2 linked regions of the Lonchura striata genome follow. The protein of the gene in region 1 purifies or fractionates together with the protein of each later gene. This does not show direct contact. Links are inferred from orthologs where the notes say so. Each region holds a gene or a part of one and is shown in the gene's direction. Other genes may lie near its edges.

The links. The genes of interacting proteins can lie anywhere in the genome.
Region 2: the proteins of TDP1 (region 1) and DNA repair protein XRCC1 purify together in Homo sapiens (affinity purification with mass spectrometry; 4 studies listed by BioGRID and IntAct, with this or other methods). This does not show direct contact. The link is inferred for Lonchura striata from reciprocal best matches to the Homo sapiens genes TDP1 and XRCC1.

The regions. Positions count from the first base shown.
Region 1 is NC_134608.1:17,272,591-17,279,932, reverse strand, and holds the start of TDP1 (tyrosyl-DNA phosphodiesterase 1), read left to right. Parts: upstream 1-4,312; 5' UTR 4,313-4,394; intron 4,395-4,978; 5' UTR 4,979-4,982; coding exon 4,983-5,529; intron 5,530-6,949; coding exon 6,950-6,993; intron 6,994-7,342. Other genes in the region: EFCAB11 (EF-hand calcium-binding domain-containing protein 11), read right to left, coding at 3,059-3,167, 4,096-4,122. UniProt on the Homo sapiens protein: DNA repair enzyme that can remove a variety of covalent adducts from DNA through hydrolysis of a 3'-phosphodiester bond, giving rise to DNA with a free 3' phosphate.
Region 2 is NC_134639.1:76,707-84,001, forward strand, and holds the start of DNA repair protein XRCC1, read left to right. Parts: upstream 1-4,214; coding exon 4,215-4,275; intron 4,276-4,334; coding exon 4,335-4,582; intron 4,583-5,754; coding exon 5,755-5,853; intron 5,854-6,891; coding exon 6,892-7,056; intron 7,057-7,295. UniProt on the Homo sapiens protein: Scaffold protein involved in DNA single-strand break repair by mediating the assembly of DNA break repair protein complexes. Negatively regulates ADP-ribosyltransferase activity of PARP1 during base-excision repair in order to prevent excessive PARP1 activity.

The DNA.
Region 1 (7,342 bases):
TGTTATGAGAGTACAAGACTGCCCACAGCTGCAGCACTGAGACAGCCACCTGAGGGGATGTGAGCAGATTCCAGAGCAATCTAGGCTTATTCCACTCTGGAGAAAGGACAAGCCAAACATGATGAGACCACTTAAGCTAAAGCTGTATGTTCCACCATGCCCGAAACACTTCCCCCAGGACCATGTCAGATATATAAACAGACTAGGGAGTTCTGTCTAGAAAGCTTTGATAATATATGCCAGGAGAGCAGCTGAAAGCAGCCTCAAGCTCAGACTGCCCTTCTCTACTCTGGATCTCAGAGTGTCCTGCTGCTGGCATCTTGTTCAGCAGCAGCTGTTGACCTGCTGGTGTCCTCCTGCAAAGGTACAGCTTCGGGTCAAGGAAAACACTGGACACTGGGGGCCTGGACTCTCAGGAACACTGTAGAGAGTGCTTTTAGTTAGATCTAAATGTAACACTACCAGGAAGGGAACTTCAGCTTGGGAAATGATGTATTTTAATGACTACAATTCCTGAAGTCTCCTTTTCATTTGGAAGATGAAATGCTAGCAGCTAGTTAGCTGAATGGTTGCTGAAATATAAGAGCATTTTAGATGACTTTAAATAGTTTTGGGGAAAAGAGGATCATTGAACCAAACTGACAGAGAATGAAAAAAAAGTCACATAGACATGATTCCTACAATGTTGCTATTTCCCAGAAATGACAGTATTTATATGCAGACATACATACAATATCCATTCAACAATGAGTTTAATCTCTGTTTACATTTTTTCCCAGTTATTTGCCTCAGAAGGTTTAATTATAAACACTAAAATTATATAAAGTTCAAATTTCTATTAATAACCACACTAAAATAGTATTTTACTCACAATATAGCATTGTTATAACAAATTATTTAGAAAAATCAAGCGGAGCAGGAATGTGATTTAAATTCTTAGAGCTCACCTTTTCCAAGGAAGAGTTCATTCATGACATCTAGCGGGTAAAGTTAGTATTACTTTTAACTTACAGAATAAAGGCAAACGCGACCAAAAAAAAAAAAAAAAAAAAAAAAAAAAAAAAAAAAAAAAGCAGCAACAATTTACTAAAAATTCGATTGCTTGATTGCAGTTGATGATGCTAAGCAATTGCCATTTCTACTGAAAAAAAAAATGTTAGTATGTAGTGCAGCTGAAAAACAGTTTCACCTTAAGAAATAATGTATGCACACTATTCCCCATGTCCTGCAAAAACAATTGGAAGGACTCTCCTTGCCAGGGATGTTCTTAACCATTTCCAAAATAATAGAAGGGCTGTTCCTTTAGCCTATGATTTTGTTAATTTTGACAACAAAGCAATACGCACAATAACATGCTCAAGAACTGGATCTTAACAATTAACTTTTAGGATTGCAACATCTGCATTTGGTTCCTCTCTGGTACACAGTGAAAGTTGTGTCTCTCAGAACCAGATTAAAAACCATACGCACGTTGAAAGGAACACACTCAGGACCCAGTCATCAGCAAAAGCAAAACATGTGGTTGTGCTACAAACCTTGCCTAATGCACACTAGCAGAAGCCACAAAAAGAAAAGTATCTGCTTCCCCAGGGACCTTTTAGAGATCTTCACAATGAGCAGTAATTGGGTAAAGGGCAACAGTTGCTGGAATTGGGCCCACTTAAGGAGCTAGCAAAACCACTAGATGACAGAATCAGCCCTAGAACAAAGGTTTCTTAATTAATTTTTGTGCAGCTGCACAGACCAAATGGTCACAGTAGTGCCTAAAGCCACAGCAGGTGTGATTTGGCACCTTTTCAGGAAGAAATAACTAAACCTGCATCTCATGTCTTCCCAGGAGTCCTCTATTTGTATTCTCTTTCCAAGGAGATGCCATCAGTGACTCATGCACAGTGCCTGCTCTTGTTTAAATGCCTTAAGCATGTTTTGAGTACTCCTGCTGTAAGAAACACTCAGGGAATTTGACAGAACACTTAATTTTTATATAGTAAAAATATCTAGGAGAAGATAGATAGGGAAGAAGTTGAGCAGTTTGAGATTCATAATTCAATAGTTAGGACTCACATCAGAAGCCTTAAGCATTTTTAGATCTGGCCACAGTTCATTGAAAAAATGTTTACCCACAGCTGAAATATATGAGAAATTACTACTTTCATAGTTTACTAAAATATTTTTGTGGGTTTTACTAAATTATCATAGATACAATTTTGCTTATGACCTTATCAAGACAGTTTTTGTAAACTATGTGCTTAATGTAAAAATAATAAAAGTAATTATTTGCAATCAGTCATTGGGGAAGAAGATTGCTCAAGCTGGAGAAGAAAGATGATTCAGCCTTTCCATACTTTATATATATAATACACATTATAGTAATTGGTCTCATTTATTGACATGCCATGAGAAAGACAGACTCACAGATACACTATGTGTATTCTGAAATCTTTTGTATTCTTTATACTCTTTTTAATTCACTTGTACTTACTTGAGTAAAAATATTACTTCTAAAACTACATCAAGCCATACAATATATCCTGTATTTTCCTGTAAGTATGGAAACACATTATTTCTCTCAATTAATCTTTCTTTTCTTAAGATTTCTATAGAGCTGTAGATTTACATTTGAGAAGTCATGCCTAAAAATGTCCAACTATTAACTATTACCTGAAATCAAAACCAGATATATTTTTGAGAATACGTGTTTATTATTGGGACATGTAGCAGTTTCACAGTTACTGAGACCACTGAATAAAATTGAATGTACCACTGATAAAAACCAGTAACAAGCTCAGTAAGTCACTTATGTATCTTGTACACATATGAAATACAATACAACTTTCTACTGATCACAGTCTTCAACAGAAAAGCCAGGGTTTTGATTATTTTCTTTTGGAATAAATATGTGCAAATTAGAAAATTAATTTTAGGGTTTGTAGGCATTTCTGTTTACCACATCTACAGCAATCCACTCCAGTTAGTGTAGGCCAGTCAATATATAGTATTTTCAACAGTGAGACATCTATAAGCTGGATCTTCAGAACATAAATGGAAAAGTATATACCTTTGAGGGTTTCTAGAAAAAAAAAAAAAACCATTACCAGACCAACTGTAGAGTCTTCTCTGCTTAAATAGCCTTTGCTATCTTCATTGCACACTTCAAAATCCTGCAGAAAGAAAGTGATTCACATAAAAAAACCAATAAACCTAACCTAGGATTTTTTATTTTGCAAAACTGTTATGGGGGAAAAAAAGAGGCACTTGTTGAATCACTTCTATTCATCTACTCTGTTCCAGTAAAATTGAAAGTGGGAGCACATTCAGTTTGGGATTTTAGGTTAAAATAAAATTTTTCATACTATTACATTTTATGTGCTTATGATGAAAAAGCTTTTTGCAAACTTAGACTACATAGTACAGACTTATAGGAAACAAATCACATGAAATTTCCTTCTAGCAGACTATACTTTTTTTTTCCTGAAAAATGCCAGATAACTTTAATTCTCAGTTAAGTCACCACACAGACAGGAACTATAAGGAGAGAGTGCAATGAAAGCATAGTCAGAAGCCATCAAACTTTCTGAGGTACTTGCAGAAAACAAAAAAACATTTCCAAAGAGAAGAGACTACACAGAGAACATACAAAGCCATCCAACGTTCCTAAGAGCTTTTCCCACAGAACACCTTCAGGAAGGGTTAACAATACAGCATCATATCGTACAGCAGCAAAGGGTTTACCCACAGAACATTTCAGGGAAAAGTTACGTACGACTCTGCGGACAAGCACTGAGAAAATTACACAAACCAGCGGAATTGTCAGGAAAGCTTTTCCTGGAGTAACCTGCCGTTTTCATTGCGTGTTGGCACTTCCAGAATTTGTTAACTGCAGCCACAAGCTTGCAACAAATTAGAGTAAGGAGAGCCGAGCGCTCAGTTCACCGCAGCGCGCTTTGATGCGGGCCGCGCTCCTCCTTTGATTAATATCACACCTGCTTTCCTCCCTCTCCTTCCCGAACTCCTCACGCACTTATCTCATTAGCGGGGCACTTCAGATACAGTAATTAACACCGCGCCGAACGAGCCATTATGCAAATTCCGCACCTGCCCATAATTAATATTAAGGTCCATGACGGCTGGTTAGAATAATTCAGCTCGCCAAGCCTCGGCCGCCCTGCCGCGGCGGCCCCGGAGCGCCTCGCGGCGGCCCCGGAGCGCCTCGCGGCGGCCCCGGAGCGCCTCGCGGCGGCCCCGGAGCGCCTCGCGGCGGCCCCGGAGCGCCTCGCGGCGGCCGCGCTCCGGCGGCTCGGGGCGGGGCCGGCGCGGGCGGGCGGGGCCCGGGCCTGCTCTGGCTCTCGCTGCCCTGCGCGGGCGCTGCCGGGCGCCGGCGGTCGGTGAGCGGGGTGAGTGAGTGAGTGAGTGAGTGAGTGCTGGCGGCGGCCGGCGGGCTGCAGCCCCGCAGCGGCTGTCGGGGCTCTTTGCCGCGGCGCCGCCGCGGGCGCTGCCTTCGCTGCGGGGCGGCCGCGGCCGGGCTCCGCCGCCGGGGCTCGGCGGGAGGCGCGGCGGAGGGGCGCGCTGCGGGCGCGGGGCCGGCGGAGGAAGGCCGCGGTCCCGGAGGGTTCCCGCGGGGCCGCCCCGTGCTCCTGAATCCGCTCAGCAGACGCCTCAGCCGCGGGGAAATACCTGTGTCGTGCAGCTCGCACCTCTGATTTTTGGAGTGCTTTCTCATAGGAGTCTGTGTCTTATCCCGCTTTCCATGTGTTGGTTTTCACATTTGCTGCTTCCCATTTGATGGTTGCCACCATTGCACGTGTTTCTTTGTTTCCCGGGCACAGAAACAAGTCGTGTACGGTATGAAGTTTCCCAGAGAACCTGCCAAATACCAAAGCACGGTTCTTAAGTAATAAACAAGTAGGAGGTAGGAAGGGAGACAGACTTGAGCGTAGCAAAAACGTACAATTTTTGTTTGGTGTTTTTTCATTCCTAGGAACATGCTTCAGGAAGGTGCACACGGTAAATGGACAGTATCTAGCAGCGATGAAAGTGCTGATGAAAATTCTGACAGTGAAAAACCATGTACATCTTCACTATCAGATGCTACATGTGGTAAAACAAGTGGACCACAATATCCATGCTCTGAAGCTAGGAAAGCTGCTCTCAAGAGAAAAACTTCTCCCCTGAAGTTCACTGATAAAAGTCTTTCTACAGATGCACCTCCAGCAGTAAAACAGAGACCAAGCCAAGAAGGCTCAGGTTGGTGTCTTTCTAGTAGCGATGAAGAGCCTGAAGATCAGCAAAAGCATGTTCACAAAGAAACAGTGAAAGAAGAAAAATGTGATATGCCTGAAGAGCATCCTCTGAATCTTTGCAAAGATGACAAACTCTCGGAGAATCTGAAAGAAGAGGAGTATAATGTAACACCCAGTGAAGCCCAGGATACCTGGGATTTGGTGACTGGAGGCAATCCTTTCAGGTTTTTTCTCACTAAAGTCAGTGGAATTGAACAGAGCTATAATTCTGGAGCCCTGCACATAAAAGGTGAGCAAGTGTCTTCTACTAGAAGAGGGCTTTTGGGAGAAAGCAAGAGAATGCTTATTTTTGGTTTGTGGGTATTTTTAAATGCATGTATTTCTTAGTGTTGCTGATATTTCATATTCTAAATGGGCTGGTTCATAGAAATTGTTTCTTTTATTTGGGCCTTTCTCTTTCAGAGGTATAAAACATTATTTGCTGATACTTTGTTGTAACTTGAATTAGGCGGCAGAAATATAAAGTGTATTTAGCCAAGACAAATCATGCTGCTTCTTACTGCTGCTTTCTTTATGAGCTAGTCTGGGGAAAACCACTTGTGGCATTTAAAGGGATGCTTTTCTTGGGTGCATAACTCTGAGTAGTTGTTTGCACCTGCCTCTGTGCTGTTGATTGGTTTGGACCTAATAATTCACTATTAATAGGTGAAGTACTTCTGAAGTTCTGTGTCTGGGGTTCATGTATCTGTTTAAATTCAGCTGTGAGAGAGCTGTCCATCAGTCAAGATGGAGTGGAGCCTTTGGTGTGCAATACTGATGCTTTAGGAATGCTCTGTTGTCATTTGATGTTGGGGGAAGAGCTTTGTGCACCTTTAAACATCCCTGTAGTTAGAAATAAAATTTTATACATCACAAGACAGAATCAGAAACAAGTATCAGTAAGAGAATTGTGTACAGAAATACAATAAAATAAAGCAGAAAAAAATAGTAGTTCTTTGAGGGAGAAGAAATTACTTAAGACCTATATATACAATTAGGTTGTAACTTTTCCTCAACCTCATGCCTACTAGCACAAGCAGGCGTGAGGGACTTTAGAGCTTTAGTCCAGGATGTTTTTATATGCTTTGTGAATTTGTGGCTTTTGGACTGTCCTGTCCTGGGAGTCCTGCTAGGTGATTAGTTGAGCTGGTGGACAGGCAATATTCTTTGTTTAACCAGCTAAACCAGCTTCAGTTGTGGTTATAAATCCCCAGTTGGATTAGTTTCCTGTGCTACTGTGATTGAACTATGAATACACATATCCCACAGTCAGTCTGCAGCAGATAAAATAAGCATTGACTTATTGCTTTTAATACTTAAATAAGCATGCCCTTATTGCTGCCACCCTGCCACAGTTCTTCAAGTCCACTCAATAGTGGAGAGAGTAATTTAATGGCCCTTTCTCAAGATGTTGTTGAACTTTTTCCCTATCAGCTTTTAAAACTTGTTTAATACTTTGAGAGGATTATTAATTTTTGTAAGGATATGATCCTAAATGATTCACAGGGGAGTCAGTGACTTGAATACTTAGAACAGTAAACTTGTGAATGCCTCTGTTACACCAGGTCTATGAACAATCTGGCCTTTTTGCTGTGGTATCAAGCTGTTCAAGATGCAAAACATTTACTTGACGTCTTTTTTATTTATTTGTGCTTTAATATTTTTAATAGATATTTTGTCTCCTCTTTTTGGAACTCTCGTATCTTCTGCCCAGGTGAGTTTCCTGTTTGCCAAACTGATTTCACTTGCTTGCTTCACTTCATTAATCTTAAACTTGATAATCCATGCTTGTGCTACATAGCTGCTATTAACAGGGAACCTTGTTAAAATACAGAGGGAATTCTAAATATTTTCAACTGTTGAACAATTTACTGAATATAAACACTGTCCTATGATCTGCTGTAGAATTCAGGGAATTATAAGACTACTTTCTCCAGTTTTTGAGGAAAGTGAAACTGAGAAGCATGTATTTATGCTCATATAAATGAGGATTTTTGAAAGAAAGAACACCTTGCAATTTAGGAATAATATCTTTGTTATTGCCTAGAAGTTTTGCTATCATT
Region 2 (7,295 bases), on another chromosome or scaffold:
GGGGGATTTTGGGGGGGATTTGGGGGGATTTGGGGGAAATTTGGGGAAATTTGGGGGGATTTGGGGGATTTGGGGGGATTTGGGGGAAATTTGGGGGATTTCGGGGGGGATTTGGGGGATTTTGGGGGATTTGGGGAAATTTGGGGGATTTTGGGGGGATTTGGGGGTTTTCGGGGATTTTGGGGGGATTTGAGGGGATTTGGGGGGATTTGGGGGGATTTGGGGGGATTTGGGGGGGATTTGGGGGGATTTTGGAAAATTTGGGGGGGATTTGGGGGATTTTGGGGGATTTTGGGGAAATTTGGGGAAATTTGGGGGGATTTGGGGGGGATTTTGGGGGATTTGGGGGGATTTTGGGGGATTTGGGGAAATTTGGGGATTTTCGGGGATTTTGGGGGATTTTGGGGGGATTTTGGGGGGGATTTGCGGGATTTTGGGGGGATTTTGGGGGGATTTGGGGAAATTTGGGGGGATTTGGGGGGATTTTGGGGGGATTTTGGGGGATTGGGGTGGATTTGGGGGGATTTTGGGGAGATTTTTGCTGATTTTGGTGGTGATTTTGGGGTAATTTTGGGGGTGATTTTGGGATAATTTCGGAATGATTTTGGGATAATTTCAGGATGATTTTGGGATTATTTCAGGATGATTTTGGGGGTGATTTTGGGCGATTTTTAGGGTGATTTTGGGGGCGATTTTTGAGGTGATTTGGGGTGATTTTGGGATAATTTCGGGATGATTTCGGGGTAATTTCAGGATGATTTCGGGATAATTTTGGGATAATTTCAGGATGATTTTGGGATAATTTCAGGATAATTTCGGGATAATTTCAGGATGATTTTGGGGTAATTTTGGGGTGATTTTGGGATAATTTCGGGATAATTTCAGGATAAATTCAGGATGATTTTGGGATAATTTCGGGATAATTTCAGGATAATTTCAGGATGATTTTGGGATAATTTCAGGATAATTTCAGGATGATTTTGGGATAATTTCAGGATAATTTCAGGATGATTTTGGGATAATTTCGGGATAATTTCAGGATAATTTCAGGATAATTTCAGGATGATTTCGGGGTAATTTCAGGATGATTTTGGGATAATTTCAGGATAATTTCAGGATAATTTCGGGATAATTTCAGGATAATTTTGGGATAATTTTGGGGTGATTTTGGGATAATTTCAGGATGATTTTGGGATAATTTCGGGATAATTTCGGGATAATTTCGGGATAATTTCAGGATGATTTCAGGATAATTTCGGGATAATTTCAGGATGATTTCGGGATAATTTCAGGATGATTTCAGGATAATTTCGGGATAATTTCGGGATAATTTTGGGGTGATTTTGGCCCCCCAGGCTCGCTGTCCATGCGGGAGCTCCTCCCCTCCCCCCCGGGCCCCCCCCCGAGCCCGAGGTGAATCTGTTCCTGCTGCCGCCCCTGGAGGAGGAGCCCGAGGACGCCCTGCCCCGAGGTGAGACCAGTGCGGACCAGTACGGACCAGTACGGACCAGTACGGACCAGTGCGGGTCCCCAGAGACAGCCCCTGGGCACCCTGGGCCCCTTCCCAGTACATCCCAGTATGGCCCAGTACAACGCAGTACACCCCAGTTCCCTCTGAACCCATCCCAGACCCCCCAAACCTCCTCCCAGTACATCCCAGTACAGCCCAGTACATCCCAGTATGGCCCAGTACATCCCAGTATGGCCCAGTACAGCCCAGTATGGCCCAGTCCCCTCCGAACCCACCCCAGACCCCCCAAACCTCCTCCCAGTCCATCCCAGTACAGCCCAGTACATCCCAGTACATCCCAGTCCATCCCAGTATGGCCCAGTATATCCCAGTACACCCTAATCCCCCCCAAACCCCCTCCCAGTACAGCCCAGTACATCCCAGTCCCCTCTGAACCCACTCCAGACCCCCCCAAACCTCCTCCCAGTCCATCCCAGTATGGCCCAGTATATCCCAGTACAGCCTAATTCCCCCCAAACCCCCTCCCAGTCCATCCCAGTCCATCCCAGTACATCCCAGTATGGCCCAGTCCCCTCTGAACCCACCCCAGATCCCCCAAACCTCCTCCCAGTCCATCCCAGTCCATCCCAGTATGGCCCAGTACACCCCAGTACAACCCAGTACAGCCCAGTCCCCTCTGAACCCACCCCAGACCCCTCAAACCTCCTCCCAGTCCATCCCAGTACAGCCCAGTCCGGTCTAAACCCATCCCAGACCCCCCAAACCTCCTCCCAGTCCATCCCAGTCCATCCCAGTATGGCCCAGTACATCCCAGTATGGCCCAGTCCCCTCTGAACCCATCCCAGACCCCCCAAACCCACTCCCAGTACATCCCAGTCCATCCCAGTATGGCCCACTATATCCCAGTACAGCCTAATCCCCCCCAAACCCCCTCCTAGTCCATCCCAGTACATCCCAGTACATCCCAGTATGGCCCAGTACATCCCAGTACACCCCAGTCCCCTCTGAACCCACCCCAGACCCCCCAAACCTCCTCCCAGTCCATCCCAGTACATCCCAGTATGGCCCAGTATATCCCAGTCCCCTCTGAACCCACCCCAGACCCCCCCCAAACCCACTCCCAGTCCATCCCAGTATGGCCCAGTCCATCCCGGTGCTCCCCAAACCCCGTCCCAGTCCAAACCAGTATAAACCAGTTCAAACCAGTATAAACCAGTCCAAACCAGTCCAAACCAGTATAAACCAGTATATCCCAGTCCATCCCAGTCTACCCCAATCCCCTCCAAACCCACCCCAGCCCCCTCAAACCCCCTCCCAGTCCATTCCAGTCCATCCCAGTACGTCCCAGTCCCTCCCCGTGCTCCCCAAACCCCCTCCCAGTCCAAACCCAGTATAAACCCGTCCCTCCCAGTTTATCCCAGTACAAACCAGTACGAACCCCGCAGGTGGGGGAGGGGCGCTGTTCCCGGCCCTGCCCCCGTTCCGCGGCCGGGGGGGGCTGGGGGGGCTCCTGGCCCGGCTGCGGGGGAGGGTCCTGGCGGCCGCGCGCTCCCAGTTATCCCACAGCCTGCTGACCGAGCGCAACTGGTGAGACTGGTTTATACTGGGAGGGCTTCGGGGGGGACTGGGAGGGGCTGGGAAAGGGTTAAAGGGGGTTTGGGGCACTGGTTTATACTGGGAGGGGTTGGGAAAGGGTTAAAAGGGGATTTGGGGTAACTGGTTTATACTGGGAGGGGACTGGGAGGGGTTGGGAAAGGGTTAAAGGGGGTTTGGGGGTACTGGTTTATACTGGGAGGGACTGGGAAAGGGTTAAATGGGGTTTTGGGGTTACTGGTTTATACTGGGAGGGACTGGGAGGAGTTTGGGGGTGACTGGGAGGAACTGGGAGAGGGTTAAATGGAGATTTCGGGTTACTGGTTTATACTGGGAGGGACTGGGAGGGGACTGTGAGCAACTGGGAAGGGATTGGGAGGGACTGGTTTATACTGGGAGGGGACTGGGGGGAACTGGGAGGGGATTGGGAAAGGGTTAAAGGGGGATTCGGGGTTACTGGTTTATACTGGGAGGGGATTTGGGGTTACTGGTTTATACTGGGAGGGGATTTGGGGGGACTGGTTTATACTGGGAGGGGATTCGGGGTTACTGGTTTATACTGGGAGGGGATTGGAATAAACTGGGAGGGGACTGGGAGCGAACTGGGGGGAACTGGGAGGGTGCTCATTACCTGTACCAGTCCGTACTGGTTTATACTGGTCCGTACTGGTTTATACTGGTATATACTGGTTTATACTGGTCCATACTGGTGCAGGTTCCACTACGCCGCCCGCATTTGGGACGGGGTGAAGAAATCCTCAGCCCTGGCTGAGTACGGCCGCTTACTGGGATAAACTGGGAGCACTGGGAGCCTCGTGCTGCTCTTCATTAACGACCCCCCTCGTTAATTAATGACGCCTAATTACCCTCGCCGAGGTTTCCTTATCTCCTTTCCCCTCACGGCTCTGAGGCGGCTCCCCCCGCGCTAATAAACAGCCCAAAGCGCCTTTTCTTTGTCTTAATTAGCGCCAAGTCGTGATTAATTGCCTTTCCCTAAGGATTAATGAAGCTTAATTACCCTGGCGGAGGTTTAATTATTTCCTTTCCCCTCACGGCTTCCCGCGCTTGGAAAAAGGCGGGAAAAACTCCGCTGGGAGGACGCGCGGGTAGAGCGCGCCCCGCGCATGCGCGCAGCCAATGGGCGCGCGCTATGGAGCCCCAGAGTCGCGCGGAGCAGAGCGGCCCGGGAGGGCGCGCTGAGGCGACTTCCGGTGCGGCGCTGAGGCGACTTCCGGTGCGGCGCTGAGGCGGCTTCCGGTGCCGCTCTGAGGGGACTTCCGGCGCGGCCCTCATGGCGGAGATCCCGTTCGCCCGGGTGGTGTCGGTGACCAGCGCGGACCCGGTGGGTCCCGGGGAGGTTCGGGAGGAGCCGGGCTGGGCTCGGCGGTACCGGGGCTCGGTTCTGAGGGTTCGGTGCGTCCGCAGCGGCACCCGGCGGAGAATCTGCTGCGGCCCGAGGATGGCGGGAAGTGGAGGGGAGCGGCGGCGGGCGAGAAACAGCTGAGCGTGGTGCTGGAGGTGGGGCTGGGGGTAACTGGGAGGGACTGGGAGGGACTGGGAGGGGAGTGGGATAAAGTGGGAGGGGACTGGGTTAACTGGGAGGGACTGGGAGAGGAGTGGGATAAACTGGGAGGGGACTGGGATGAACTGGGAGGGACTGGGAGAGGACTGGGATGAACTGGGAGGGACTGGGAGAGGAGTGGGATAAACTGGGAGGAAACTGGGATGAACTGGGACTGGGATGAACTATGAACTGGGAGGGACTGGGATAAACTGGGAGGGACTGGCGGGGACTGGGAGTAACTGGGAAGGGACTGGGAGAGGAGTGGGATAAACTGGGAGGGGACTGGGATAAACTGGGAGGGACTGGCGGGGACTGGGAGGGGATTGAGGGGGACTGGGATGGACTGGGACAAACTGGGAGGGGATTGGGATGAACTGGGAAGGGATTAGGAAGGACTGGGATAGACTGGGAAGGGATTGGGAGGGACTGGGATGAACTGGGGTGGACTGGGAGGGGATTGAGAGGGACTGGGATAAACTGGGAGGGGATTGGGGGGGACTGGGATAAATTGGAAGAGGGTTTGGGGGGATTGGGAGGGACTGGGATAGACTGGGAGTAACTGGGATACACTTGGAGAGGATTGGAATGGACTGGGAGAGACTGGGATGGACTGGGAGGGCATCGAGGGGAACTGGGATAAACTGGGAGGGGATTAAGATGGACTGGGATAAACTGGGATGGACTGGGAAGGGACTGGGGGTGACTGAGAGGGGGTTTGGGGGCACTGGGAGGGGACTGGGGGTTACTGGGATGTAGTGGGAGGGGACTGGGACAAACTGGGACCAACTGGGAGGGCAGTGGGGCTGAACTGGGATAATCTGGGACAAACTGGGAGGGACTGGGATGAACTGGGAGGGACTGGGAGGGACTGGGAGGGAACTGGGAGGGACTGGCGGGGACTGGGAGGGAACTGGGAGGGACTGGGATAAACTGGGAGGGACTGGGAGGGAACTGGGAGGCTCCTCCTGAGTGGGGCAGAAATGGTCTGCACTGGTTCATACTGCTCCGTACTGGTTTATACTGGTTTGTACTGGTCTGTACTGGTTCATACTGCTCTGTACTGGTTTGTACTGGTTTATCCTGGTCTGTACTGGTTTATACTGGTTTATACTGGTGGCTCCCCCAGCTGGGTGACACCCGCCCCATTCACTCCCTGCACGTCGGCAACGACGGCGCCGCCTTCGTGGAGGTGCTGCTGGGCTCCTCGGCCGGGGGCGACTTCCAGGTGAGCCCGTGGGCACCTGGGCACACCTGGGCACCCAAACACACTCCTGGGCACAGCGAGAAACACACCTGAGCACACCTGGGCACCCAAAAACACACCTGGGCACACCTGGGCACCCAAACACACACCTGGGCACAGCTAAAAACACACCTGGGCACACCTGGGCACCCAAACACACACCTGGGCGCAGCGAGAAACACACCTGGGCACCCAAAAACACACCTGGGCACCCAAACACACACCTGGGCACAGCTAAAAACACACCTGGGCACACCTGGGCACCCAAACACACACCTGGGCACAGCTAAAAATACACCTGGGCACCCAAAAACACACCTGGGCACACCTGGGGTGCCCAAAAATACACCTGGGGCACCTGGGCACACCTGGGCACCCAAACACACACCTGGGCACAGCTAAAAACACACCTGGGCACCCAAACACACACCTGGGCACAGCTAAAAACACACCTGGGCACAGCTGGGGCACCCAAAAACACACCTGGGCACAGCTAAAAACACATCTGGGCACACCTGGGACACCCAAACACACAGCTGGGCACACCGGGGGCACCCAAAAATACACCTGGGCACACCTGGGGTGCCCAAAAATACACCTGGGGCACCTGGGCACACCTGGGACACCCAAACACACACCTGGGGCACCTGGGCTCATCTGGGCACCCAAAAACACAGCTGGGCACAGCTAAAAACACACCTGGGCACAGCTGGGGCACCCAAAAACACACCTGGGGCACCTGGGCACAACTAAAAACACACCTGGGCACACCCGGGCACCCAAAAACACACCTGGGGCACCTGGGCACACCTGGGACACCAAAACACACATCTGGGCACAGCTAAAAACACACCTGGGCACCCAAAAACACACCTGGGCACACCTGGGGGTACCTGGGCACACCTAAACCTTACCTGGGCACAGGTGGGTGCACACCTGGGGGTACCTGGGCACACCTAAACCATACCTGGGCACACCTGGGGGTACCTGGGCACACCTGAGCCTTACCTGTGCCCGCAGGTGCTGCTGCCCAGCGCGGCGCTGATGTCGCCCAGCGAGAGCCGGGCGGGGGCGGGGCCGGGCCGGGTGCGGCTCTTCGGGCCCGAGGCGCTGGTCAAGCGTCCGGCCACGCCCACGGCCAGGTGGGACCGGCTGCAGGTGGTGCTGAGCCAGCCCTACTGCCAGGTGAGCGCACCTGGGCGGGCAGGGGGCTCCTGGGGCTCACCTGGGGGGACTGGGAGGGCACCTGGAGGGGCAGGGGGCACCTGGGGCGCACCTGGGGGGGGCAGGGCGCACCTGGGGCTCACCTGGAGGGGTCAGAGCGCACCTGGGCGGGGCAAGGGGCACCTGGAGCTCACCTGGAGGGGTCAGAGCGCACCTGGGGGGGGCAGAGCGCACCTGGGCGGGGCAAGGGGCACCTGGAG